Drosophila melanogaster: one gene and its partners. The protein of the gene in region 4 interacts with the protein of the main gene of each other region in a pairwise test. Each region holds a gene or a part of one and is shown on either strand. Other genes may lie near its edges. The genes, in order: fs(1)K10, CG32548, mid and CG2157.

Region 1 (6,254 bases), 8.6 Mb from region 4:
TTGCGCACCAGTTGGTTGACCTCCTGCTGTCCCGTCACAAAAATTAGTATGCCGCCTTCCGGAAGCTTATTATGGATTTTTAAGGTCTTGCGGTAAGCCTCCGCCACATAGTCATCAGGTGTGCGCTTCTGGAAGTGAATAGTCACCGGAAATTGTCGAGCCTCCACTTTAAGCAACGGTGGCGGAATCTTAAACAAGCGAGTATTCTCTGTAAAATCGGATACCCGCAAAGTGGCAGACATAATGATCAGCTTCAGCGGCTGCCCGCGTTTGTGACGCAAGGGCACGATCCTTGACAGGAGACCCACTAGGATGTCTGTGTAAACACTGCGCTCGTGCGCCTCGTCCAGGATGATCACTGAGTACTTACTAAGCAGAAAGTCAGTTTCGATCTCCTTAAGCAACACACCATCTGTCATGAATTTAATGCGCGTCGCTGGTGTTACGTTTCCCTCGAAGCGAATGAGGTATGACACCTCGCTCTCCGGCAGGTTCATCTCGTGGGCCACCCGCTTGGACATGGCAATAGCAGCCACTCGCCGCGGCTCCGTCACTCCAATCATCTTGTGCTGGGCATACCCCGCTTCGTACAGGAACTGCGGTAGCTGGGTAGTCTTTCCAGAGCCAGTCTCACCAGCCACGATCACAATGGGGTTTTCGTTGATTGTCTCCATCACCTGCTGCTCCTCCGCGAGGATAGGCAGTCGAAGACGGGCATTCTGAACTTCTGTTGTCCGATGTACGGGCACATAGACAGTCTGGTGGATACAGGCAGGTGGGTTAGGCTCTGGCTTCAACTTTTTAATGGGTGGTTTAACAGCGATTTGCGGTGGAGCTATAGACACTGGAGTGGGTATGGCAATAGGAGCGGATTGAGCTGGTGCCTCCTCATCGTCCTCATCAGAGGATGAAGAATCTTCGTCATCTTCCTCCACGCTAATTACATTCGGATTCTTTCGCTTGGCCTGTAGTTCCTCCTCCTCTTCGACGAGAAGCTTGCGCTTGGAGCCCTTTATAGCATTTACGCGGAGACCCGACGCCGAGCTTTTTTCAGCTAAAACTTGGGCCTGTCTTTCCTTTTTCTTGGCTAGATACTCGTCAAGGGTGGGTAGACGCTTTAATCCCACGGTTTGCACTTGGCTAATGGAAGTATACTGCTGCAGCTCCTCCTCCGGAATTTGAACGGCAGCAAGGTCACCCAACAGCTGAGCGCGCTAAATTAGAAAAGATTTCAATTAAATATCAGTTTTATATTAGCACTGAATAAAAACCTACACCCTCTTTCTTTTTCTTCTTGTCCACAATAGCCTGGAGGTGCTTGCGCTGCTTCTTGGAAAGGATCTTCACGTGTTGCACTTTGTCCACCTTAATCTTGGTGGCCCGCTTCTCGGAGGGCAGAACCAGAGCGTTGGCCTCATCGTAGCCAACCTGGTTGCCGCCGGCCACAGCATCCACATCGATCTGAATCTGTAGAGTATTGGATTTGGAAAGGGTAAGAAAGCGGATTCGAGTGTGTGGTCCGACGGATGACCTACCTTCTTCACGGCCGAGTTGTCCACAATTGTTTGTGGATTCTGCCGCGCCTTGGCATTGTGCACCTTCTTGCCCATGATTACTTTACTTTACCAATATAGTTAATAAAATAAAGTAACAGAATTAACTTTGGGCAATAATATAAACATTGATTTAAATCACACGTGCGAAGTACGCTTATCGATAACAGCGCAGGCGATAACAAAAGTTGAGATACTCTAAAATGTGCTGTGATGTTACATTTGTGTTAGTGGAAACATACATTAGTGGGAAAAACTGATTGTTATAGTTGTTCACACTCCTTCGACAGCACTGGTATCGAAACGTTATCGCAATCGATTCATCGTAATATTTTCAATATAAGTTTTTGTGACAAATAGGCGTGCAACATTTTAGATCCATCTGCTCCCCGCCTGTCGTTTCGGCTTGGCTCCTCTGCTCGAGTCCTGAACCCCCGTTTTCAGTGAAATCCAGCTACCTGCAATGGTGTCCAAGAACCAATTCTATCAGAACTGGACCATGCAGTCGCAGCAGCAGCACCCGCACCAAATGCAGCAACAGTTTCAGCAACAGCAGCAGCCAAATCTGCAGCACCGCAACAACCAGAGCAACAATAATAATTGCAACAATAATCCCCGCGCAGCTGCGGCTCCGTATAGAAAACCGTTTCGTTCGGGCAAAATTAACTCCGGACCAGGAGGAAATGGGAATGGTAACAGGGTCAACGGTAACAATCAGATGATGTTTTCCTCCAGCCAAATGCCGAGCGATCCCCTGTACATTGACTTCAGCAGCCCGCCACCAGGATTCAAACACAATCAGGTAGGCAGTCCCAAGAAGAAGTCTATGAAGGGCATCAAACAGCAGCAGCATCCCAGTCCGAACCAGCAGCAGCCTCCCAGTCCGAACCAGCAGCAGCATCCCAGTCCGAACCAGCAGCAGCATCCCAGTCCGAACCAGCAGCAGCATCCCAATTCGAACCAGCAGCAGCATCTCAGTCCGAACCAGCAGCAGGGCAAGATGAACAACCAGAACAACAATCATATGAACCAGTCGCAGCAGCCCTTCAACAATCAGATGAACGGAAGCGATTGGCAGCGCCATCCGGGCAACAATCCCAATCAGATTCGCGGTGGCTTTAATGGATTCCAACGCGGGCCGCCTCCGAACCGTCCTCCTCCACGCCTCATGATGGGTCCGCCAATGGGTCCGATGGGCCCCGGACCACGGGGACCCGGACCGATGGGCCCTGGAGGACCTTACCCGCAAATGCCTTTCCCGCCACCGGTGCCTGGTATGCGCGGTCCCGGACCCATGGGCCCCATGGGTGGACCACCACCGCCGCCGCCACCGCTCTTTATGCGTCGCAACGGACCCGGTCCAGGTCCTATGATGGGTGTCCCACCGCCCATGCACATGATGGGTCCACGGATGCCGCCGCGGGGAATTCCACCGGTCGGACCTTATGGACCAATGAACATGAATGGCGGCCGGATAATGAAGCCCAATCCCAAGCTAATCAAGCAGGTGGTGAAAGGCAAGAGCAGCATAAAGACACTAAAGAACCTGATCAATCAGTATCCCATCGAAAAGCCCTGGGTAACGGACGAGATACGCAGCGAGCACGACAAGAAGGTGGACATCGAGAACAGATTGAAGGGCCACAAAGACGACGAGCTCTTCGCTCAGTACAAGGGCCAGCGGGACAAGTTCGTTAGTCTCTACGAAGCGGCGCGGGAAGAGTATCTCAAGCAGGAGGCAGCCACTGTCAAGGCCAAGGTGAGCATATAGAGACCCCCCAACATATCCTTATTCCCTTGGAACAGGTGTCCCATCCGAAGCTCTATTCAGGGAGGCACACCGATTCCGGGTACAGTTTCGGCTTAATCCGGAATCACTTTGCACCCCTGATTTGATCCGTAACCCCCACCCGTCCCTCTTTGTTGCGTTTGCCGGGCGGTAGGAAAAAAATAAGAGAGCAGAGAAAGTGAAAAAGTAAGTCTCAACCTGATGCACTCTCTCGCATTATCCTGCAGTCCTGCGGAAGGTTGTTGTCATATCTATTTTCACCTTCGGTTGTTCCCTTGGCACTGATATATATCCGCAAAAGAGAAACTATTGGCATATATTTACAACCATAGATTTATTAGGAACTGAACAAAATTGTGTAACTATTTAGAACTGCAATACAATGTGTTTACTGCCACCTTGTATACAAATTTAAAAAACTAATAGAATTTTGTACTGTTCGATCGTGGCAGGCGTAGTAGATTCATAAATGCACTCTTAGTAACTTAATATTCTTAATTGAACGAGCCTCAGTACTGAATCCTATGGCTGTTTTCATTTTCCAATTTGGTTGGCATGTGAAAAGCGAACTTAATGAATTTTAAACTGCCAGAACATCAATTTAGTTACTTAATTAGCAGATATAACCCAACTTATGAAACTCATTGCATATGAAATGATAATGATTTGAGTGATTAATGTTCGTGGGCGTAGTTATCTGGAAATAGCCAAGAGAAGTTCGCAGAATGCATTTAATAGCGAAAACAGATCTGAGAGCTCTTTTTACACACTCAACAACCTTGCTATTGAACACCGTTGGCAATTCTCGTATTTCTTTTGCAGGATGCCAAGTCAGACAAAGACAAAAACGCAATTTCAAGTCAGAGCGCAGCCCCTAAGGCCGGAAGCGCTAAAGATGCAACAATTCCAAATCCCTAGGCAGCCAATGCAACCGAATCCGAATACCGAATCAATCGAATCGAACCGACTAAAGAAGAGGTCGGTCGACTCACAGAACTAAATGTAAACTTAAACTTTAAACCAATGAGCAATTCAAAACTAAAACTAACAGCGAGCAACAGCAAGAGTCTGACAATTGAAGACGAATATAACTCAAAACCCCGACTCCTATATCGGATATACGTATACACAATCGTAATCCGAGGAGGCGCCGCCTTTGTCACACGTTGCTTTTGCGACTGAGAACTGAGCTTAGAACGATAATGTAGCAACAAATACAAACCCAGCGATAATAATGTGGGCGAAACTCTAGTAATAGCGATAAAAATTTAGATTGCGAATCGATTCACTTGTCTAACGTAACCTAGCGTAACGTAAAGTAGAGTATTGAAATGTAACCGTAACGTAACGTAACGTACCAGTTTCCTATTCGAAAACTATTTGTTGTTCAATTCTAAGTTGCAGCCATTTCAAGTATGTGTACACAATTTATGACACGCCCTTACCTATATATGTATGCATATATATTGATATATATATATATATAAATTATTTTCCTATTCGTTGCCCGAGTGCGTGGGCGCGACATAATTGAAACAGAGTGGCCGGATCCTAAGCACTCTGGCATAAATCACACTGTAGGCCTTAGATTACACCACTTGATTGTATTTTTAAATTAATTCTTAAAAACTACAAATTAAGATCACTCTGTGAACGTGTGCTCGATGGTGTGCATCTACGGATTTGTTTTTGTGTTCTTTTTCCCCACCCAACCCCGTCCCTGACCCAATTCCGCTGTTCTCTTTACCGACTTGTAGATTAATCACGCTCTTGATCTTCATGACCGGATCCACCTGACAAGTAACGCCAAAGCAGCCCCACTTAGCGGAATAGTAGAGCCTAGGGGACCCAACGTAAAAACTCTAGTATAGCACCAATCTCCCAACCAGTTAACATTATACCTAAACCCATGGTCAAGAGTAAACATTTCTGCCTTTGAAGTTGAGAACACAATTAAGCATCCCCTGGTTAAACCTGACATTCATACTTGTTAATAGCGCCATAAACATAGCACCAATTTCGAAGAAATCAGTTAAAAGCAATTAGCAATTAGCAATTAGCAATAACTCTGCTGACTTCAAAACGAGAAGAGTTACAAGTATTTGTAAGGCACAGTTTATAGACCACCGACGGCTCGTTAGGGCTCGTCATGTAACTAAGCGCGGTGAAACCCAATTGAACATATAGTGGAATTATTATTATCAATGGGGAATATTTAACCCTCAGGTAGCAAAGTAATTTAATTGCAAATAGAGAGTCCTAAGACTAAATAATATATTTAAAAATCTGGCCCTTTGACCTTGCTTGTCAGGTGCATTTGGGTTCAATCGTAAGTTGCTTCTATATAAACACTTTCCCCATCCCCGCAATAATGAAGAATACCGCAGAATAAAGAGAGATTTGCAACAAAAAATAAAGGCATTGCGAAAACTTTTTATGGGGGATCATTACACTCGGGCCTACGGTTACAATTCCCAGCCACTTAAGCGACAAGTTTGGCCAACAATCCATCTAATAGCTAATAGCGCAATCACTGGTAATCGCAAGAGTATATAGGCAATAGAACCCATGGATTTGCCCAAAGGTAACCGAGACAATGGAGAAGCAAGAGGATTTCAAACTGAACACCCACAGTGCTGTGTACTACCACTGGCGCGTTTGGGAGCTCACTGGCCTGATGCGTCCTCCGGGCGTTTCAAGCCTGCTTTACGTGGTATACTCCATTACGGTCAACTTGGTGGTCACCGTGCTGTTTCCCTTGAGCTTGCTGGCCAGGCTGCTGTTCACCACCAACATGGCCGGATTGTGCGAGAACCTGACCATAACTATTACCGATATTGTGGCCAATTTGAAGTTTGCGAATGTGTACATGGTGAGGAAGCAGCTCCATGAGATTCGCTCTCTCCTAAGGC
Region 2 (6,974 bases), 7.6 Mb from region 4:
TTTTGCATAATTTGCGCTGTTTATTTTGATGGCTTATGGTGGGGTAATCGTAAAACGACAAGCATTTCATTCGGAAAAGTCAACTTTAATGGAGAAAACACGCCCGGACGGAAACGGAAAGTACGACCCCACATGGATAGATAGGACCCAAGCCCCAAGGAATGCAGCCGGAGTGAAAGGAGAAGTTATGGCCATTACCCCGGGGCACATTAAGTTAGGAACTCGGTTTGGGTCACTTTATTGGGGTAATGCGGGTCAGCAGGCACACAAACACACAGACAGACAGGCAGACAGTCGGGGACAGACAACTTTCAATCGTGTGAAATGCGCTTTCAATTACACGCCGCATAATGAAATGCGCAAATAAATTTATGACGATCACGTATCACGTATACGCAACGGTGGCAGGTAAGCGCGCGCTTAAGTGACCATTACGCACTAACCACCACCAGGTCTTTGCTGCTTTCATAATAATCGTTGCCCTGCCAACGGGCCAAATCTCATTGGGCCATCAAAACTGCATTCCAATTGAGCCGATTTTTCGCTTCTTACTCTGGCCTTAACCCCGCTTCCGTATCTTGGTGGCTAAAGCCATTCGTACACAGCGACAAAAGCCCACTAGTCTTCTCACTTCATCATGCTCTGCGTTTAGAGAACGATGGGTCTGAAGGCGCACTCGTTTTCGCACCGTGTAGCCGGCATTTGCAAGTTTCGCTTTTCGGACATATCGCGCATTCCGGGCACGTTCCTATAAACAACGTTTTATGCCGGTGTTTATGTTTAGTTTGCCGTTCGCCCAGCGGGGGCGGATTGTTATGTAAGTGCCAAAGAGCATATTCAATTTGAATTGGAATTGGAATTGCCATCTACATCTACACCCTCCACTGCACACTCCTCCCCGCCGTTGTTATTGCTTATTCCATATTCCGCAGGCAGACACCAAAGTTTAAAGAAAGTTATCCACGCAAAATGTGAAACAAAACAATGCGGGTGAAAATTAAAATAAAATATATATCGAAATTGAAATTATGGAAAATTATATTAAACGCGACAGGGTAGGGCAGCTTTGTCAAAAAAAAAGAAAAAAACTTGAAGGCACAGCAGTTCAATTGGATTACATTAGATATCTTGGATTTCAGGCAACGATTTCGAATAGAAGCTATAATACTTTCCAACTGCACAGAGAAAATCAAATGACACCTTTTAAAAAATAATCTAATGGATGATTAGATTGAACCTATTATTGAGAAGTTAACTTCGTGAAATATTTCGCTCTAATGATAAACTGAAGTCATTATTCTATAAGTGTTATTAAAATATGATTTTTCAGGTGCTTCATAAACCGAAAATTGAGACTATTATTATCTTCAAATTTGGTTCAACTATTATTTACTTCACTTTATTCACACATTTAAGACGTAAAGAGTACAACATTTTTTGGGCCAAACTTTATGGCCAAAATATGTATGCATGTACGCTGTTTTTGGGGCCAAAAACTGAAGTGGCAGAGGCAGAGAGCCAAGCGTGGACATTCCCCAATCGAAGGCGGTATAAAATCGGTGGACAGTCGGCGGGCGCTGCACAGTCAACCATCGACGTTCGCGAGTCGCGTCCGCTTAGCTGATAACGATCCATAGTCCGATTGCACGGTTGCTCGGACATACTGCCAAATCAACGGGAGACGAAGTCGAGTTCCAATACCAGGCCATCCAGCCATCCAGCCATCAACCATCCATTAGCCTCACCACGTAAATCATGTTCGCATTGGCCTTGACGGTGGCGGCCTTGGTGCTTGCCGGCCAGCAGGAGGTGTGCCGCGCACAGGTCTCCATCCACACGGACGCCAACTCGAACTCCTACAGCCTGAAGACGCCCGGAGTGCAGCAGACCTTCACCCGGTACTACGGAGGAGCGGCCAAGAACCAGCAGGTGGAGCAGCCGCAGCTGCAGCAGCCGCAGGAGCAGGAGCAGTTGGTAAGTACATCACGGCAATGGTGAGGGGTGAATCTACTATTGAAACTCTGGGAAAAGCACATAAAGTTAAACTTGAATTTTAAAATTGCTTAAGAAAACACTGGATAACAATTATACGAGGGAAAAAGTTGCGGACACACTCTTCAATTTAATTTAATATTTAGCCACATGGCGTTGCTTTAGAGTAGTACTATGAATTGGAATTCGAATTGAAATTAACCGCCAAAGTTTTGGATGTTCGATGCTTGTTCGGGTAGAAAGGGCGTTCCATTGAATGTCCCGTCACCATACTCCGAACTTTGTGGGCCCTGCATATTGTTTTCGAAGATCTCCTGCATTTGATCGACGGCGTCCATCACATCAGTGGGCATATTCTGCAGGGAATTTGGGTATCAAGGATATACGATACGAGTACGAAGTATCTTACCTGTGACCAGACGGGCGAAATGCTCCAATGGAGCAGACCTAGACTCAGGATTAAAATAGGCGATGTCATCCTGTGATGGCTTCACTTCCCAATAATTGATTGCCAAGAAGAAAGCCAGCTATTTAACCTGTCACTTTCTAGTTATTCTGCTTAATTACGCGAAAAACAGATATGTTTTCATGTTTACATAATCTAGATGCAACATCTAGCATCTGGTTTAGTTAGCATGCGAGGTTGTTATTGGCAATTAGCTTAGTGGCTTACAGATCTAATTAAACCAGAGATGAAAAAATCTCATTTTTGTTGGTTGGAAAAGCATTTTAAGCCGAATCATTCAGTGCCTAATTGGTTATCATCCGCAGATGTATACCATATTACTTAGTATTGTCATTTTGTAGTATTCAAAAAATAATTATAAATACCCGCTTGGAAATGTACCTAAATCAAAAGCAATCAAGTTGGCTTTCAACGGATGATATTTCCCAAATCAAATGAATGTTTTAAATTCTTTGCTACGCTTTATTTGCTCGAAACGAAAGTAAAACGCCCATTTCAGCGGTTAGAAAATACTTCATTGGGTGAATCGAGATCCGTGGTGTCGGAGAAAAGGTTCTTGAGTTCCTCAAAGTAGTTCTTAAACGAGTCCACCATCGCGTTCCAGGCTTGGGTTATATTTTGTCCAAACTCCCGCGCCGCATCGCCGATCCGCTTGTCCAGCCTTGGATCGTCGGGATAGACCAAATGCGGTCGCACATCGTCGTACTCGTTGGAGTAGTCCAGATCGAACTCGTCGGCCCAAGTTTGGGCCACCAGAGCGAGGGTCAGGGCCACGATTAGTAGGGCAGAGAATCTGGGTCCGGAAATCATTTGGCCAACTGTTGTGCCCAGCCACCTGAATGCGCCTTTTGTACCCAGCCTTTTTAATTCAATCAGATTTCGACCAGACACGGAAATGTTCGAAATGCATGTCGAGATGCATCTCATCTGGCCCGGAAGTGCCCACTGACCGTTGGCTCATCGTGACTCGGCTCGTTTCCGTATCTCCCATCTGGACAGCCTTCAGTAGTCGAGTTGCTGTGGTGACCCCAATGGCCTTCTCCTCGGACCACTTTCGATCGGATTGCTCAGAAATGACAGTTCGCTTTTTGCTTTATTGCCTCTGCCTGAGGAATCTTTATCGATTGGGGGTGACTCTTCGGCGGTGACCTTTTTAAAGAGCAACAAATAAGGTTGAGTTCTTAAAGGTATGCCACTTTAAAATGGTAACCGGATTCCAAGTTTTGGGTCACCTTGGTGATATGTTTAGTTGAGCTCACAAGCATTTGTAGTTTAAAGACGGAGTACACGTTTTTTTTGACTCTAATGCCGTTTGGGGTCACCTTTTACCAAAGGTGATTGGCCTTAATTGGCTACTACATTGATAATATGATGGGGTCTTAAAATGGATGTAATCTATAGTACATATTTGAATGAAGACGTAATCGTAATGTTTTTGGCCAACCCAGAAAACATGCCGCTCAACACAGTTTCCGGTTTTCAGTTGATTTTATTGCACTTATAAACAAACAAAAAAAATACACTCGATGGTGGTCGTCAGGGAGCTCGGTGATTCTACGCCGTGGAGTTGGCCGTTTCGGTGATCTTCTGGCGCACCTGCTGCACCACATCCGCTACGTTGTTCACAAACGAAAGCCACATGGCCTTGATTCTGGTGCCCAGGCCCAAGGGATCCGCTCCGTCCATATTCTGTGTCACTTCCATGCCCTTCTCCTCCTGCCGTCGTCGTCGCACCAACTTCTTGTTCTTTTTGCCAGTGGTCTTGGGACTCACTCGGGATCGGGAGGCATTGTTGGCGGCCCGCTTTTGAGCTCGTCTCCGTCTGGCCTCCACGTCATCGTCGGCGGACGCCGCTGTGGTGGCGGCAGCGCTCATTTTCCAGAAGCAAGGAGCGCGTTTGAGGCGATGCAGGCTCCGCCGCCTTCGCTTCCGACGACGATCCTCCTCGGATGAATCGGTGGCAATGGGACGTATGGCATCTCCATAGCCAACGGCCGTTTTCGAGTGCACGGACATCAGGGGATTGTCAATGTCGACGTCGCGGGAGATGGCGGCGCCACTCTGAACTGCCTCCGCTATATTTCCGGCCAGAGACATGGCGCCCATGCCCAGCGACTCTAGCGGATTCTGTGGACCTGGCCTGGCCGCAATCATGGCCAGACCCGCGACAACCAGGAGAAGTGCCAGCTGATGGCGATTCATCGTTTCTAACTGTAAGGTTGCGGCATTGCATCCGCGCTTTTTAAGCCATCGAATCGCGTGATTCCCTTCGATACATATCGATTTGAATCCACACCATGGCACCGATGGCTAGTAGAGATCACAGTAGGCTTTCGGATTGGCCCGACGACAGCTGTCAGGTGTCACCGGACTGGTTGAGCTATCCAGTCAGTATCACTTGCTCGCTCAGTCGGTTCAGATCGGTTCGTTTTACAATTTTTCCCGCTACAGACTTCGTAAACAAATTGTATCAAAATCTGAATTTGAAAATCAATTTTTGGCTATCCACACTCGAGCTACACAACCTCTCGTCAAAACTTTTAAGTTTACATCGCGACAAACGGAACAACAGGGAATCATGAGATCCAGCAAAGTTCGTGGGGGCAACGCCAGTCGATTGGCTGACGCGGAGGGACAGTGGGGAAAGGGATGCCTGGGTTCCCAGCACTCAATTATCAAGAATCACGGGCGTGGCCTTTCATCCGTGAGTAAAGGAAAGCGTGTTATAAGCTCAATTGTATGAATATTTTACAAAACGAAATCAAAAGTTACACATCGAAAACGGCCTACTACTTGCGCACATTAGACACTCATCTAAATATCATTTAAGCCAGTTCAGAATAAGGATAAAATTGTCCTGGTTTAGCTTCCATTCTCATCCGTTTATTCCTCTAACCTATGCAGCAAACTCCCACGCAATTTGGTGGATTCTCGCCGTCGGGACAGCAGTATCCTGCCGTGTACTCGCAGCCAGGATTCCGGGCCGATGGTAAGCTGAAGGTCACGCCCAACTCGCTGCTCCAGCAGCAGCAACAGCAGCAACAGCAGCAACAGCAGCAACAGCAGCAACAGCAGCAACAGCAGCAACAGCAGCTCCTGGCGCAGCAGCAGCAGCAACTCCTGGCCGCCACATCGCCGCAGGTAGCAGCTGCATCCGGACCAGGAGTGGGCGTTAGCGGTGGCGTGGTCAACATGCCCAGCTATGCGGACCAGATGCACGCCGCCTTCCTCGATTATCAGCGCCAACGAGCCGAGTTCGAGCAGCAGCAGCAGCACCTGCTGCAGAAGCTCTACCACTACTATCCCGATGTATCCGGCGGCCTAACATCACCGGCTCATCAGATTCAACCCCAAACCCCCCAGATAGCTGCTCCCGCCGATGTGGGAGGCGCTCCGGCGGGCGTGGCAGCACAGAACGCAGCTGGCCGCTTCGCCTACCGTCGGCCGCAGTTCAGCAACAATGGCCTGCAGCCCGAGCGCCTTGCATCCGGATCCATTGTGCCCGGAGGTCCAGTAAGAGGAGGTCCAGTTGGAGTCATCCCGGGAGGAGTGATCGGATCAGCGCCTTTGCGCTCCAACAGTCTGGGAGGGGGAGCAAGTGGAGACTTCTACTCCACGCAACAGCACATGGGCTTCATGCAGCAGCAGCAGCAGGACGTGCTCCGTGACCAGCAGCAGTCGGTGGCCCATCAGTTCGCCACCAGCCAGTTGGCGCCCACCACCCGCCAGAGCTATGGGATGGCCGTTCCCATGTCCTCCGTGCTGGGATCCCCCACCTACCAGCAATCGCCGGACGTCTCTCATGTGAGCTTCTCAAGCGGCAATCTCAACTACAGCTTCTAATGATGATGAGCTGTTATTCCAAGGACTTCCAAAACTAGTATTTTCATTTTTTTTTCACACACCTTTTTTTTTGCGTAAATTTTCGTGGTATTTGATAAGAGGAATTGTTTAGGGCAAGCAAGAATAAATTTTGTAAGTGATGATAATTGTTGGTTTTTAGAGGGGTGGATGCATTTCAGGCTTATCAAATGGTGATTATGGCTTACGAAGTTACGAGGGTTAGATTTGCCTGAAGAAGAGTTTGAATGTGCACTTCTGGCCTCGAGTTATGTACTCTAGTTAGTTGCTTAATTAGCCCAAATCCATCCTATATGACCCAACAGCATTTCATTACTAATAAACCATCGGCACGTGCTCCGTGGAATCTAGCTGGTCAGTTAACTGGCCCCACTTACCAGATTCATCATGGCTAATGATGGGTCATTCCTAATCGGCAACGCTCATCTTTAACACGCCGCCGAGCTCACGTGCAATAAATGCATTAATATTGCTTTGAACGGACCGCCTTCGCATTGGCACACAATTGCTGCCATTGAATCTGTTTATAGAGTTAATATAATCCGTCCCATGCCATCGTACATCCCACTGGCGGATCCATTTATCCGAGCAGCCAGTCGCAGTCGCAACGGCGACGGACTTCGATTGTTGGGGTATTATTAGACATCCATGGGAA
Region 3 (7,845 bases), on a different chromosome or scaffold from region 4:
TTACAAGTGCCAAGTGGCCACTTTTTTTTCAGATCGACCGCCCTTTGTTTTCACAACTTGTGTTTTCCTTGGCTTTTGACATTTTGGTGACATACGGGACTGCCACCTAAAAAGACACACATGTAGATGCACAGACAAGGCCAACATATTAGGAACATAGGCTCTTTTTATGAAAGGAAGTGTAAACCTTTTTCTAGAATCAAAGTATGCACTCTACTTTTTAGAACCAGCGTTCTTGTGTCATAAAATTGTATTTAAAGTTATCCCAATCTATAATGCTATCGTCCGTTTTGCTTTTGAATTTGTTAATGCTGATAAAACATTTTATAGCTATCAACTTAACTGCAATTGTAACCAGAACACACACGACGCATCCCTCCCCGTCCACTTTCACCATTTCTCCCAGGGCGAAAGTGTCAAAGTGACATGCCCACTTTGTCGCTACCCGACTTAAAAAATGTCTCAAATTACAAAAATCACACAACAAGACGGTTTGTTCCTCGCACAGGATAAGCGGGATTAGTCAGCTTGTTAGTTAGTTTGGATCTCCGCGTTCCGTTTTTCAGGATCGCAGGATTTCCGTCATGGCAATTGGCAATCCGAGCAATACGTAATGAATGTGACGAACTGTCAGTTGTTTCGAGTTTCCTTGTCGCAGCCGCATTTTCTTTGCATTTTTTAGCGGGTTAATTGGCACTGACAAAGGTCTTGACTTTTGCCTGGGAAACATAACAATTTGTTGACATCTGTAAATATTATGGGGGAATTTTCCAGAGGACTAGCTTCTATCATACAGCGTGTGGAATTGTATATAATTACTAACGGAAAAATATCCCTGTTAACTTTTTGAATCGCCATAATCTAAATTTCATGATCATATCCTCTTGAATATAAAAAAATATAGCTTTACAAATAAAAATGTCTTGACTAATGCTTATAGATATACTATGTTTTCAAATGGACTTCTATAATATGTACTAAGCGAATTGTTTAAAATATGTTCTTCCCTTTACCGAAATAAATTCAAATTGCATATACATTTTAAATAAACTTGTAGTTATTTTCGCACTCTTTATTCATGTTTTTAGAGCACAGAAAAATTTCTCGAGCTCAAACTAATAAATTCCCAACGTCCCATTGCAATAACCTTGACTCAAGGTCCATGTCCTTGCAGATAAATAAGAAAGGAAAAACAACGGGATGCAACTGCAGAAAAAAAACAGAGACATAAAACTCACTCAAAACAGAATTGAGTGAGACACGGAACGTGTTGGAAACGAAATGGAACAGACGGAAGATGGAAGAAAACGTCAGAAGAGGAGATAACAGGAAATGGAATGCGACGACAACGGCGAAAAGTTGTTTAAAAAAAAAGACCAAGAAAAACCGCAAGCAAAACGTTGGCACTTCATAAATGGGCGAGAAAGAGAGGCAAAAATAAAAAGAAAGAGACCTCGCTATGGAGAAATAGAGAGGTGCGAGGGAGAAGGCCAAAAGCGCCGACATTTTTAATTGTAAATGAGTTATGACGCGTTCGTCAGAGAGAGAGGTGAGGCGAAGAAAAGAGAGGGGCGCAAGTTGCTGACAGCGCCGCCTTTCTCTCTGTCGCACGTTCACTCCCCCGCCGATTTTCCAATTGGAAAACGAGAGAGCGAGTGGCGTTTTCACTCAGAGTGTGCGGCTATAGGGCTATCCCGCTTGCACTCGTACTGGCGCGGCTCGCTGTAGGGTGGTCTCGCTTGCACACATAGGGACCATAAGAGGAATAACTGGTTTCCCGAGTTTTGCGCCTGCCGTCGTTTTTGGCTTCTCAGCGGCAACATTTTCCTGACACAATTCAGTTCGTCGTCGCCTGCCTTCCGTTGCGCACACACTCAGTCCGCGAGATTCTCAGTTCGCGTGCGCCAAAGATAAGCAAAAGAAAGCAAGAGAGATATAAAGATACAAGATACTTACACCTTGAAACATACACATACCCCTCGAGTTACCAAAGCTAAAGATGCATCTAGCTTTATAAGTGCCAAGTGTTGAAAAGTGACCAGATACAATACCCCAATACCTTTCCAAGGTATTCCCTAGTTAAAGCCCCATTAAGAACAACATCATACCCTTCAAAATGCTGGTTGGATCTCATCCGTATTTGTGCAACGGGGTGCCCGCCGCCCCTGCAGCACCAAATGCCAGTGGACAGACAACAACAACGGCTAGCAAAAGTGCCGCCGGCTCAGCGACGGACTTTTCCATCGCCGCCATCATGGCTCGCGAAGATGCCTCCAGTCGGGAGTCCTCCATTCGCAGTGCAAGTAAGTTCAGATACATATTGAAAATATCCTTAATAAGAAAGGAATTCTGTGGGAAGCGGCAGAATCATTAATCGGTTGATAGGAACAATTTGTTCTTAAAAATATATTTTTATGCATTAGAAATTTAATGCCTTGAATATTAAGCATTTCGATTATATAGTGATTTTTAAACAAGATTTTTTTAGGCTTAACAGACTTACAGCAAGATTCATTGATGAGATGTAGAATATCTTTAAGATACTTTCATTTCTGTAGTCTCAAATACCATAGGGTACTTTTGTTTAGAACTTCATTTGACAAGCTATAAGTTCCCTAATTCAACAATCTTTAATCATAGTAGGTAGTTGTAACTTTAGATATTCACTTATCTCCTAGCAGTGCTTTCTGTACAAAAACTTACTTAACATACCAGCACACAATAACTAGAAATTGCTAAAACAAAAATGGAATTTTTATACGATTAATTCAAATTAAACGTGATTAACAACTCAACGCCCAAGAAGAGAACCGCAAACTTGACCAGCGAATGCAAACATTATTAGCCACAAGACAATCGCTAATTGATTGCACAACAAATCTATTAAATTACTGTTGTCGCTTTGGGTGCGCAGAGTTCCATTTAATTGCTAATGACAATTAGCAGGCGTTCCGGCCACGTTAAAAAAGAAAAAACTAGTTCTCTCTGGCCGACGGCATTCGCAATTAAGTCGAGCCAAAGATCGCGAATCCAGATATTTGTTAGCAAACACTTGCAGCGCTCTTTTGTGGCCGATATTATGATAATATGCAAATTGTGCACAGCATCTAATCGCGCGGAATTCATATTTAACAAAGGCTGCTAATTATGTTAATTAATTTTCAACAATGTGCTTCATTTTATTAATTTTACGAGGCGCAGAAAATTAGCGACGGCCGAAATCAAAACAAAAACGCTACGAGGTGTTCGTATTTTACGATCTCTTTATCAAATATGCAGCTTTTTTAATTTCATATTTTGTTTTGTTTTTTTTGTTTTCTGTGGTCGCTTTCCGTTTTCCGTTTGCTTACTTTGCATTTTAACACCTACCGTCTGGGCTCACCTGCAAAAAAACCGGGCTGCTTAGTTCTCCCCATCATTTTGTTACCATTTTCGGCTTATGGAAAATGGAAAGCGTATGTGAGAGTTCGCCCATGGATAAGCCCAAAAATATTATTCATCAACTTTTGCGCACACACCTTGAACGAAAGCCCTCCGCTTTTGTTTATGCAATGGAAAAGAGCAATCGCAGCTAGAGTTTCGGGCTGTTTAATTGCCGATTTGTGTTCAGTTTGACAATTAAGCCAGCGGTCGTCGTCGCACTGTCTCATTGCAATTGAAACGCGAAGCGAAGCGGAAACTCCAAGAATATGAGACGACTCCACGCTGTCTGCCGCGAAATCAGCTCCACCACTCAATGTTGTCAACGGAAGCACGGCCTCGGTTTTTGGCCAAATGCACAACGGAAAAATCGTTAATAAGACGCACAAGTTATGAAGGAAAAAGTGATGAAAAATTCAGGAAACATTGTGATCTTTAAAGTGTTTAGTGCCAAATATATTGAAGGCTTCAATTTAGAGATTTTACTTAACGCTTTTTCCCATGTGCATTGCATTTTAATTTGCATTACCTCCAAAACGAACGGTGTAATTCAGATTTAATTTTCAATTTTCGCTTTTTCCTCTCGTGTCATTTAAGGTCCCATTTCGGTGGAGGATGAGGTTGACGTTGATGTGGTCGACTGCAGCGATGCCGAGGAGCCACCGACTAAGGCGCGTCGTTTGAACCATCATCAGCACCACCAGCATCACCAGCACCACCACAATAACAACAATAACAACAACAACAACAATGTGGCACACAAGAGTCGCAACAGCGGTGGCGCCGTGGCACAAACAGCTTCCGCCGAATCCCAACTGAACACCAGCTCGACCAGCAGCCAAGGACGCTGCTCCACACCGCCCCAATCCCCGGGAACGGAGGACAGCGAGGAGCGTTTAACACCGGAACCGGTGCAGAAGGCACCCAAAATTGTCGGCTCCTGCAATTGCGACGATCTGAAGCCGGTGCAGTGCCATCTGGAGACCAAAGAGCTGTGGGATCGCTTTCACGATCTCGGCACCGAGATGATCATCACCAAAACGGGCAGGTAAGCATCCAAACCAGCAACAAGCCATCCATCCATCCAGCCATCCATCCAACCATCAGTCAGTCAGTCGAGTTTAGTGCAAACAGGCATTAGTTTTAAATGGTGGAGCAACGTGGGAGATTTTGGGAGGTAAAAGTTGCTGCCAAATGGCATTACCCAAACATATACTCTTTTCACAAAATATTTTGCATTCATCACTTTTCCGCAAAACTTCTTTATTGAACAATCAAGTGTCTGCGTGTTCAATCATCAAAGATGTTCACCCTAAGTCAGTTGCCCATAAATTGGCTCGCCAAATGGTTTTTGCAGTGTCAACAAAAATTTCATGCCATTTGAGTGAATGTGTGGGGTCTATTTCCTCCAAAAGGGAAACTGTGCAAAAAAAAAGGAAACATTTGTGTACCTGCGCAGGAAGAAAATGAGAAAATCAGAGCTATGGGCGTTGCTGTTGTCAGCGGGAGAATGGGAACAAGTTCAATCCAAATGACCACGGGTTGTCCACACCTTTGCTCCCACACACCTGACCACACGCACACAGGTCACACATATAGATAGATATATATACACCTTAATGATATTGTAAAAATCACACCTCGGAGTCGCAGACATCAGGGCGGTCCCCGATGCCCGCCTTTGGCCTTTTTGGCCGGAGGTTATGTCACCGGGTTTTGGAGGGACATTAAACCACAGGATGTAGACAAGAGGGATACACAGGTTTGTGACTCAAAAAATGAAGGAAGAGTTTCGCTTTTGTCTTCATTGTCTGCACTTGTCAAAGCAGGGAGAATCGAAAAGGAAAATATGGGAAAAAATCAGCTTGAAGCCCCAGTGTCTGGGCCATAAATAGTCGACTTAACTAGCTGTGTGGCAATAGCAATCCCCAAAAAAAGGGAGCATTCAATGAAAGCAAAAATCTAATCGAATTAATTTAACTTTGTTACCTCTTCCAGACGCATGTTCCCCACTGTGCGCGTCAGTTTCTCGGGTCCGCTGAGGCAAATCCAGCCCGCCGATCGCTACGCCGTCCTCATGGACATCATCCCCATGGACTCGAAGCGGTATCGGTACGCCTACCATCGCTCCGCATGGCTGGTGGCCGGCAAGGCCGACCCCGCCCCCCCAGCACGCCTCTACGCCCATCCTGACAGTCCCTTCAGCTGCGAGGCGCTCCGCAAACAAGTTATCTCCTTCGAGAAGGTGAAGCTGACTAATAACGAAATGGATAAGAACGGACAGGTGAGTTGACTTGAGATACCGAGACGCTGTGGTACTGAGATACTCAGATGCGCAGATACTCGGCTGCTGAGACATTCAGATGCTGAGGTAGCGATTAGCCGCGAGTGCTAAATAATTGATAATTTTGCAACACGAAGAAATATTCGCCAAGTTGCGAGTCTAGAGACCATCGTTGATTAATGTTGCTTTGCTGTGAAAATGGAAAATGTTCGTGTTCAATTCAAGAAGTGAATTTTAGGACAATATACTTCTATCTAATTTATGAAAAGTTTTAAAGAATATTAAAGATAACTTTCAATCATTTAAGCACTTTCCTAATTCCCAGCTATGTAAATTTCAATCGACTTACTACAATGAAACCTTTTCCCTCTTTTCTATTCCCTTCCAGATCGTTTTGAACTCGATGCATCGCTACCAGCCCAGAATTCATTTGGTGCGTTTGAGCCATGGACAGAGCATTCCGTCGAATCCCAAGGAATTGCAGGACTTGGATCACAAGACCTACGTATTCCCGGAAACCGTATTCACCGCGGTGACGGCCTATCAGAATCAGCTGATCACCAAGCTGAAGATCGATTCGAATCCGTTCGCCAAGGGCTTCCGCGACTCCTCCCGCCTCACCGACTTCGATCGCGATCCGATGGAGGCGCTGCTCCTGGAGCAGCAGCTCCGCTCGCCACTGCGCCTCTTTCCCGATCCGCTGATGCAACAGTTTGCCGCTCAGGGTGATCCCTCCTCGATGGCGCTGTTCGAGAAGGCACGCCAGCATCTGCAAATGTTTGGCGGCAACTCCCCCTATGCCCAGCTGATGATGCCGCAAATGTACCAAGCGGCAGCAGCGGCAGCCGGACCACCTCCGCCACCCCCCGGCCTGGGCGCCTTCCACATGTTCCAGCAGCAGTGGCCCCAACTTACCGCCGGCTTTTTGGCCAGCGCCAATCAGCAAGCTGCCGCCGCTCAAGCCGCCGCTCAGGCCCAAGCGCAGGCGCAGGCGGCAGCCGCAGCGATGGCCGCCAACCGGACGCCCCCACCCCCGCCCACTGCATCCACGCCCTCGTCGACGTCGTCGGGATCGCCGTCGCCCGATATGCGACCGCGCCAGTATCAGCGGTTCAGTCCGTACCAACTGCCAGGCGGTCAGGGGCCACCCTCCTCTGCCGCCGGTTCGCCACCCGCGGTAAACGCCTCACGCAGCCCCGCCCACTAAGTTAACAGCCCACGCCACCAAGTTCTTGCCACGAGCAGTATTAAAAAGTGAAAGCACTGGGGTTAAAGGTCGTCTCTTAAATGCAAAAAAGTTCCTGGAATACTAAGAAAATACTTTAAAAAAAAACGTAAAAAAAAAATCGTCAAAAAGTTTTTAATACAATATTTTGCTTTCCGATATGATTTCTTATAAAAAAGATCGTTTCTGGCAAATATTACTGCTGAGTTTCTTTTCAGTCAATGAAATTGCTTAAACTTTAGCTTTATTTTTCAATTTAGACGACCTTTAAGCCCAGTGAAAACTACACAAAAAAGGTTAGCCATCTTTTTGAATGTTGTAAATTATTTGTTGTTTATATGAAGGCAAAGAAAAACTTTTCTCTATTTGTTGTAAAAATCTTAAATTATGTATAAGCTGTACAGTTCTTCTCACTTTCCCCTAGACAATTTTTGTAATCTAGTTTAACTTATTGTACAAATGTTTAAATGTTGTTCGAAAACTCATCTCAGTGTAAAGTTAGAACGAAATTCACTCAAAAACTAAGCAAAACAAAAAAATATACATATACATAAATAAAACGCTGCACGATTGTAAACTATATATAGCTATGTAGTGTAAGCATAAATCGTTAGTAATGCTATTATATATAATGATATATTCATAGTATTAACAGTAAATTCATAGACGCTTCAGTTAGTTATATTTATCCGGCGAAAACGTAAAGATTTATTTAGCATAAATTAAAGGAGAGTAAAACCATAATATGTATTCAATGTGAACGCTAAAAAAAGTGAAAACACGAAAAATATTTAAACAAAAATTATTAAACGAAAAATATGAAGAAAAAAAAACACAAACATACAAAAACCAATCAAAAATAAATAAAAATATGTGAACCAAAACTAGCAACGTTTTTTTAATTGGAATTTTTATT
Region 4 (3,904 bases):
AATGTTACCTGTCTAATCTGGGATTTGGTTCTTCCCTTCGAATGCACTGCGAAAAACAGGTGCGTATACTTCAATGGAAAAGATACAACATGAACTGAGTGATATACAAAGATAGAAAAACTCTTGAATACAATAATGGATTAGAATGGTCTTAAAATTCTGAGATGAAATATGCAACTTAAATGATATTTGAAAAAATCACTATACTAGTTTTGCTCCACATTTTTTTATGCTTTTAACTGGCTCTATCTCAACTGACAAAGTTCTAAATCTGATTTTTGCACCGTGCTTGCTTTTCCTTGATTACTCATACGCCCCGTGTGCGCGGGTTGGCCAAGAAATGGAGGCTACCACTTACCGCGAGATTCACGGGCTGCCCGTGTAATGGGCTTTTAGGCCTCGGCATTAAAGAACCATTGTCTCAGTGGGGTAAGAGCACAAGAAAAGAAAAAAAAAAACGAGAAACTCCCAGGCCATCGCCAAAGTGCACCCATGGCCAAGTCAACTCATAGCAGTCGGCAGTAGCTTCGGTTGCCTCCCTCCATCCATCCCTCCATCTATCCATCCATCCCTCCAACCATCTATCCATCCATACAGTCAGTCGAATCAGTTAACACTTTTCACATGCCCGCCGGGTCGAACAATGTGAACCCACTCATATGGGCGGTATGACAAGCGTATGTATATACTATGTGGCTATCCACAAGCATGGCATCGACAACTATTTTGACATATTTCGTAAATATCCGTGGATAAGTATCGCAATGCTATTGGCACACGTAACTTCAACTGCACAGATACAAGCTACAGTTTTGCAGTTTTGGAAAATGGCAAACGGATATAGATCGTTATGTTCTTAAATGCTACTTTATTATTCAAACACTTGCTAAAGTTATTATTAAAGTTATTTGAAACATCTGAGTACTTTTTAGTTTCTTGTACTAAACTCTATAGATTAAATGTACTTAAATGTGGAATACCCCTGAATTTATGCTAAAACTATCGCCCAGATTGGTAGAACCTAATTCAGTCCATTCAACCCAATCGAAGTTACGACTCCAATCCGTTAGGTTTTTTAGAAAATGTGTCAGCAATGTTGGTTGGAATGGGGATACTTAGCTTAGGCACTTGGCCAAAAAGCCTCTAAGAAATTAACAATTGCCACCTTTGTTGGCGAAATTCAAGCATTCAGATCCGCCTGGCTCTTCTTCTCTGCGATGTTTTGTTAACAATTTCAGTTGGCTTAAATAAGCGCTGGAAAGTGAAAACCCAATTCGATACTGTTGTTCATGAAATGAGTCACGTACTAGCCGCAATATTTATCTATCTAACTAAATCGTTTCAACTGGACTCGCATGATTGCTGTTACGTTTTTTTTTTAAACTTTGTTTTCAAAGCTGCAATCGTTGGGCATTTTCGCGTTTTATGTTGACCAATTAGCTGTTTCAGGGTCAAGTTAATGATTCAATTAGCATTTGTCATCATTGTTATTGCTTCTCCTGAGCGGCGGCGGTATAATTGATCCCCCAGATCGTGGGAATATTCATAATGATGTGTGATCACACATCAACACGCCCAACCAGCTTTTCATAAGTAGATCATTCGAAAGGTATTGTTTTCTTCAAGAAAAGAGTTAAGATTATAAATATGTATTTAATATACAATATTAGCAATCTAAGTTGATCCAGAGTTGTTCCATAAATGGGTTAAGTAGAGCTCATCTGATTCTGGAAACTATCTAATCCAGGATATAAATTCAATCTAATATGTTTGATGATTAAGCCAAGACCCATCAGCATACACGTTGTCCAGTGGCATGCGTCATACATACATAGGTGGCAAGCAAGGCGACACGAATCTCTGGGATGCAACAGTTGCGTCCAACTTCGCGGCTCGAGTTCGCTGGGATTGGAAGTGGGCTCGGCGGGTATAAAAGCGACTGCCGGCCCGGTGGGGAATCATTAGACAAGTGTCGAACGGCGCGTGCGCATCATAGTCTTGAAGGAGCAGTTAGCCACCAGAAAGCAGTGAACACCACAAACCGGCAGCCACAACATGAAGTGCTTTGTAAGGACTCGCCAAAGGATCTCTCGTGGATTATAATTTCCCAAAAACTAGAAAATGATTTAAAAAACACAGTTCGTTAAAGTGAATAATAAGTTTTGAAAGCATTGTATTCCAAATGCTTGATGTTCATTGTTAAATTATAAAGTGTATTTAAATTTTAGTTTAAAGTTGATACATATTTTTTACATTTTTTTTATTACATTTTTGAATATGTTTTATGTTGCTTTTGAGAATTTGTTAAACAAAATACTATTGTTAAAAAGTACTTTTCACTTTATTGAAATATGTTTTAAGTGGTAATCTTTTGAATATGATACATTTTGGTGACGCTTTATCCTCGCGCAGTTTATCCTGATAGCAACCAGTCTGGTGCTGAGTGCCTATGCCCAGGACGCGGCGGATTCTGACCTGGAGCAGGTGGCATCCGCATCGGCACCGGATGCGGTGGCCGTGGAGGATCAGGTGAGCGCCGCCAGCAGCTATGCCCCGCTGCAGGATAAGAAGCAGGAGAAGCGCTATGTTGGTGGATACGGTGGCTACGGAGCGGGCTACGGCGCGGGATACGGCGGCTATGGCGCCGGATATGGCGCAGGATACGGCGGCTATGCCTCTGGCCTGGGAGCCGGCTATGGAGGAGCGTACGGCAGTGGCGTCGGCGTTGGCGTGGACAGCTACTACAATCCGTACAGCTCGCGAGCTCTGGGTGGATTAGGTGAGGGTGAGCTTGAAAGAAGACTCTCAATCTCTTGCCGAAGACTCGTAGTATACCAACGCTGTTTCTCAATCCCCAGATGGTGCTGCAGTGGCCGGATACGGAGGCTATGGATCCACTCTGGGCGGCTATGGATCCGCTTTGGGTGGCTATGGATCCGCTCTTGGTGGCTATGGATCGGGACTTAGTGGTTATGGTGGCTCCTACAACTCGAATCCATACGCCCTGTCATACTACAACAGCAGGCTGGGCGCTGGAGCCGGCACTGGGTATCCGTACTACAACACCCGATTCGGCGCTGGTGGCTATCCATCCAGTTACTATACGAGCAACTATGGCAACAGCGTGGTGGGCGGCGGCTTGGGCGCTTTGGGCGGAGTGCCGCCCATCGGATCGGGCTATAACTACGGTTCCGGAATCTCGGGAACCGTCTACTAGACACCGCACGGTCCAACGTTCAAGATCTAAGCTAGTGGAATTTATTTTTTTTCATCGATATATTTTTTTCTAACTTTATTTTTATTAAAAGATGCTACAAAAAAATACATTATCATAATCGTCATTTAACTAGAAAGTATATATTTATATATGCATGTAATCTCATTGGGGCGATGGATATGCGCCATGCTTGTCCTTGATCACCCAGAAGGAGTCGACAATGGCGCCGTTCTGGTCATCGGACACCTGCTCGAAGTGAAGATGCGTGCCATTATGTGCCTTCAAGCGGGTGTATCCGTAATCCTAAAGAGATTATAGAATTATAGTATTCCGTTTTGATATTAAGCAGGTCATTCAATTACATTGCTATGGTAGGCATTCCAGATGGGCAAATCGTTGGAGAAGGGCTCGCGCTCCTCCTTGCAGCCGGCGGAACCCGTGATGATCTGGATGGGCGCCTTGGGATTAGTGTATGGCGCCTCGGCACTGCCATTGTACACCTTGTAGTCGTAGATTGGCCACAGGCGAGTGTAGAAGTGTTCATGCGCAAAGATCTCCACGTCGACGCCGTGCTTGTAGAACAGATCCTCCAGGCCGAACCACTTGAGCATGGGCAGACCCTGGCGAATGTACGTCTCCAGTTGGCTATTGCAATCGTACTCCTTGTCGTCGCTGCAGTACATCGGT

The links.
Region 1: the proteins of CG2157 (region 4) and fs(1)K10 interact in a two-hybrid assay, tested with the Drosophila melanogaster proteins (one large-scale study listed by BioGRID).
Region 2: the proteins of CG2157 (region 4) and CG32548 interact in a two-hybrid assay, tested with the Drosophila melanogaster proteins (one large-scale study listed by BioGRID).
Region 3: the proteins of CG2157 (region 4) and mid interact in a two-hybrid assay, tested with the Drosophila melanogaster proteins (one large-scale study listed by BioGRID).

What each region holds. Positions count from the first base shown.
Region 1 is NC_004354.4:2,240,293-2,246,546, forward strand, and holds fs(1)K10 (female sterile (1) K10), read left to right. Parts: upstream 1-1,845; 5' UTR 1,846-2,016; coding exon 2,017-3,312; intron 3,313-4,164; coding exon 4,165-4,260; 3' UTR 4,261-5,749; downstream 5,750-6,254. Other genes in the region: kz (kurz), read right to left, coding at 1-1,214, 1,276-1,467, 1,536-1,610; Or2a (odorant receptor 2a), read left to right, coding at 5,939-6,254. UniProt on the Drosophila melanogaster protein: May be involved in localization of sqd to the oocyte during oogenesis.
Region 2 is NC_004354.4:18,435,190-18,442,163, reverse strand, and holds CG32548 (uncharacterized protein), read left to right. Parts: upstream 1-1,582; 5' UTR 1,583-1,755; coding exon 1,756-1,974; intron 1,975-2,087; exon of another isoform or gene 2,088-2,189; coding exon of another isoform or gene 2,190-2,348; intron 2,349-2,401; coding exon of another isoform or gene 2,402-2,470; exon of another isoform or gene 2,471-2,497; intron 2,498-2,903; exon of another isoform or gene 2,904-2,953; coding exon of another isoform or gene 2,954-3,268; exon of another isoform or gene 3,269-3,296; intron 3,297-3,930; exon of another isoform or gene 3,931-4,012; coding exon of another isoform or gene 4,013-4,660; exon of another isoform or gene 4,661-4,674; intron 4,675-4,863; exon of another isoform or gene 4,864-5,036; coding exon of another isoform or gene 5,037-5,162; intron 5,163-5,362; coding exon 5,363-6,301; 3' UTR 6,302-6,445; downstream 6,446-6,974. Other genes in the region: CG43841 (uncharacterized protein), read right to left, coding at 2,190-2,348, 2,402-2,470; CG32551 (uncharacterized protein), read right to left, coding at 2,954-3,268; CG6290 (uncharacterized protein), read right to left, coding at 4,013-4,660.
Region 3 is NT_033779.5:5,459,802-5,467,646, forward strand, and holds mid (midline), read left to right. Parts: upstream 1-1,837; 5' UTR 1,838-2,116; coding exon 2,117-2,303; intron 2,304-4,017; coding exon 4,018-4,468; intron 4,469-5,418; coding exon 5,419-5,704; intron 5,705-6,092; coding exon 6,093-6,911; 3' UTR 6,912-7,809; downstream 7,810-7,845.
Region 4 is NC_004354.4:10,867,325-10,871,228, forward strand, and holds CG2157 (uncharacterized protein), read left to right. Parts: upstream 1-1,959; 5' UTR 1,960-2,055; coding exon 2,056-2,067; intron 2,068-2,412; coding exon 2,413-2,785; intron 2,786-2,858; coding exon 2,859-3,217; 3' UTR 3,218-3,379; downstream 3,380-3,904.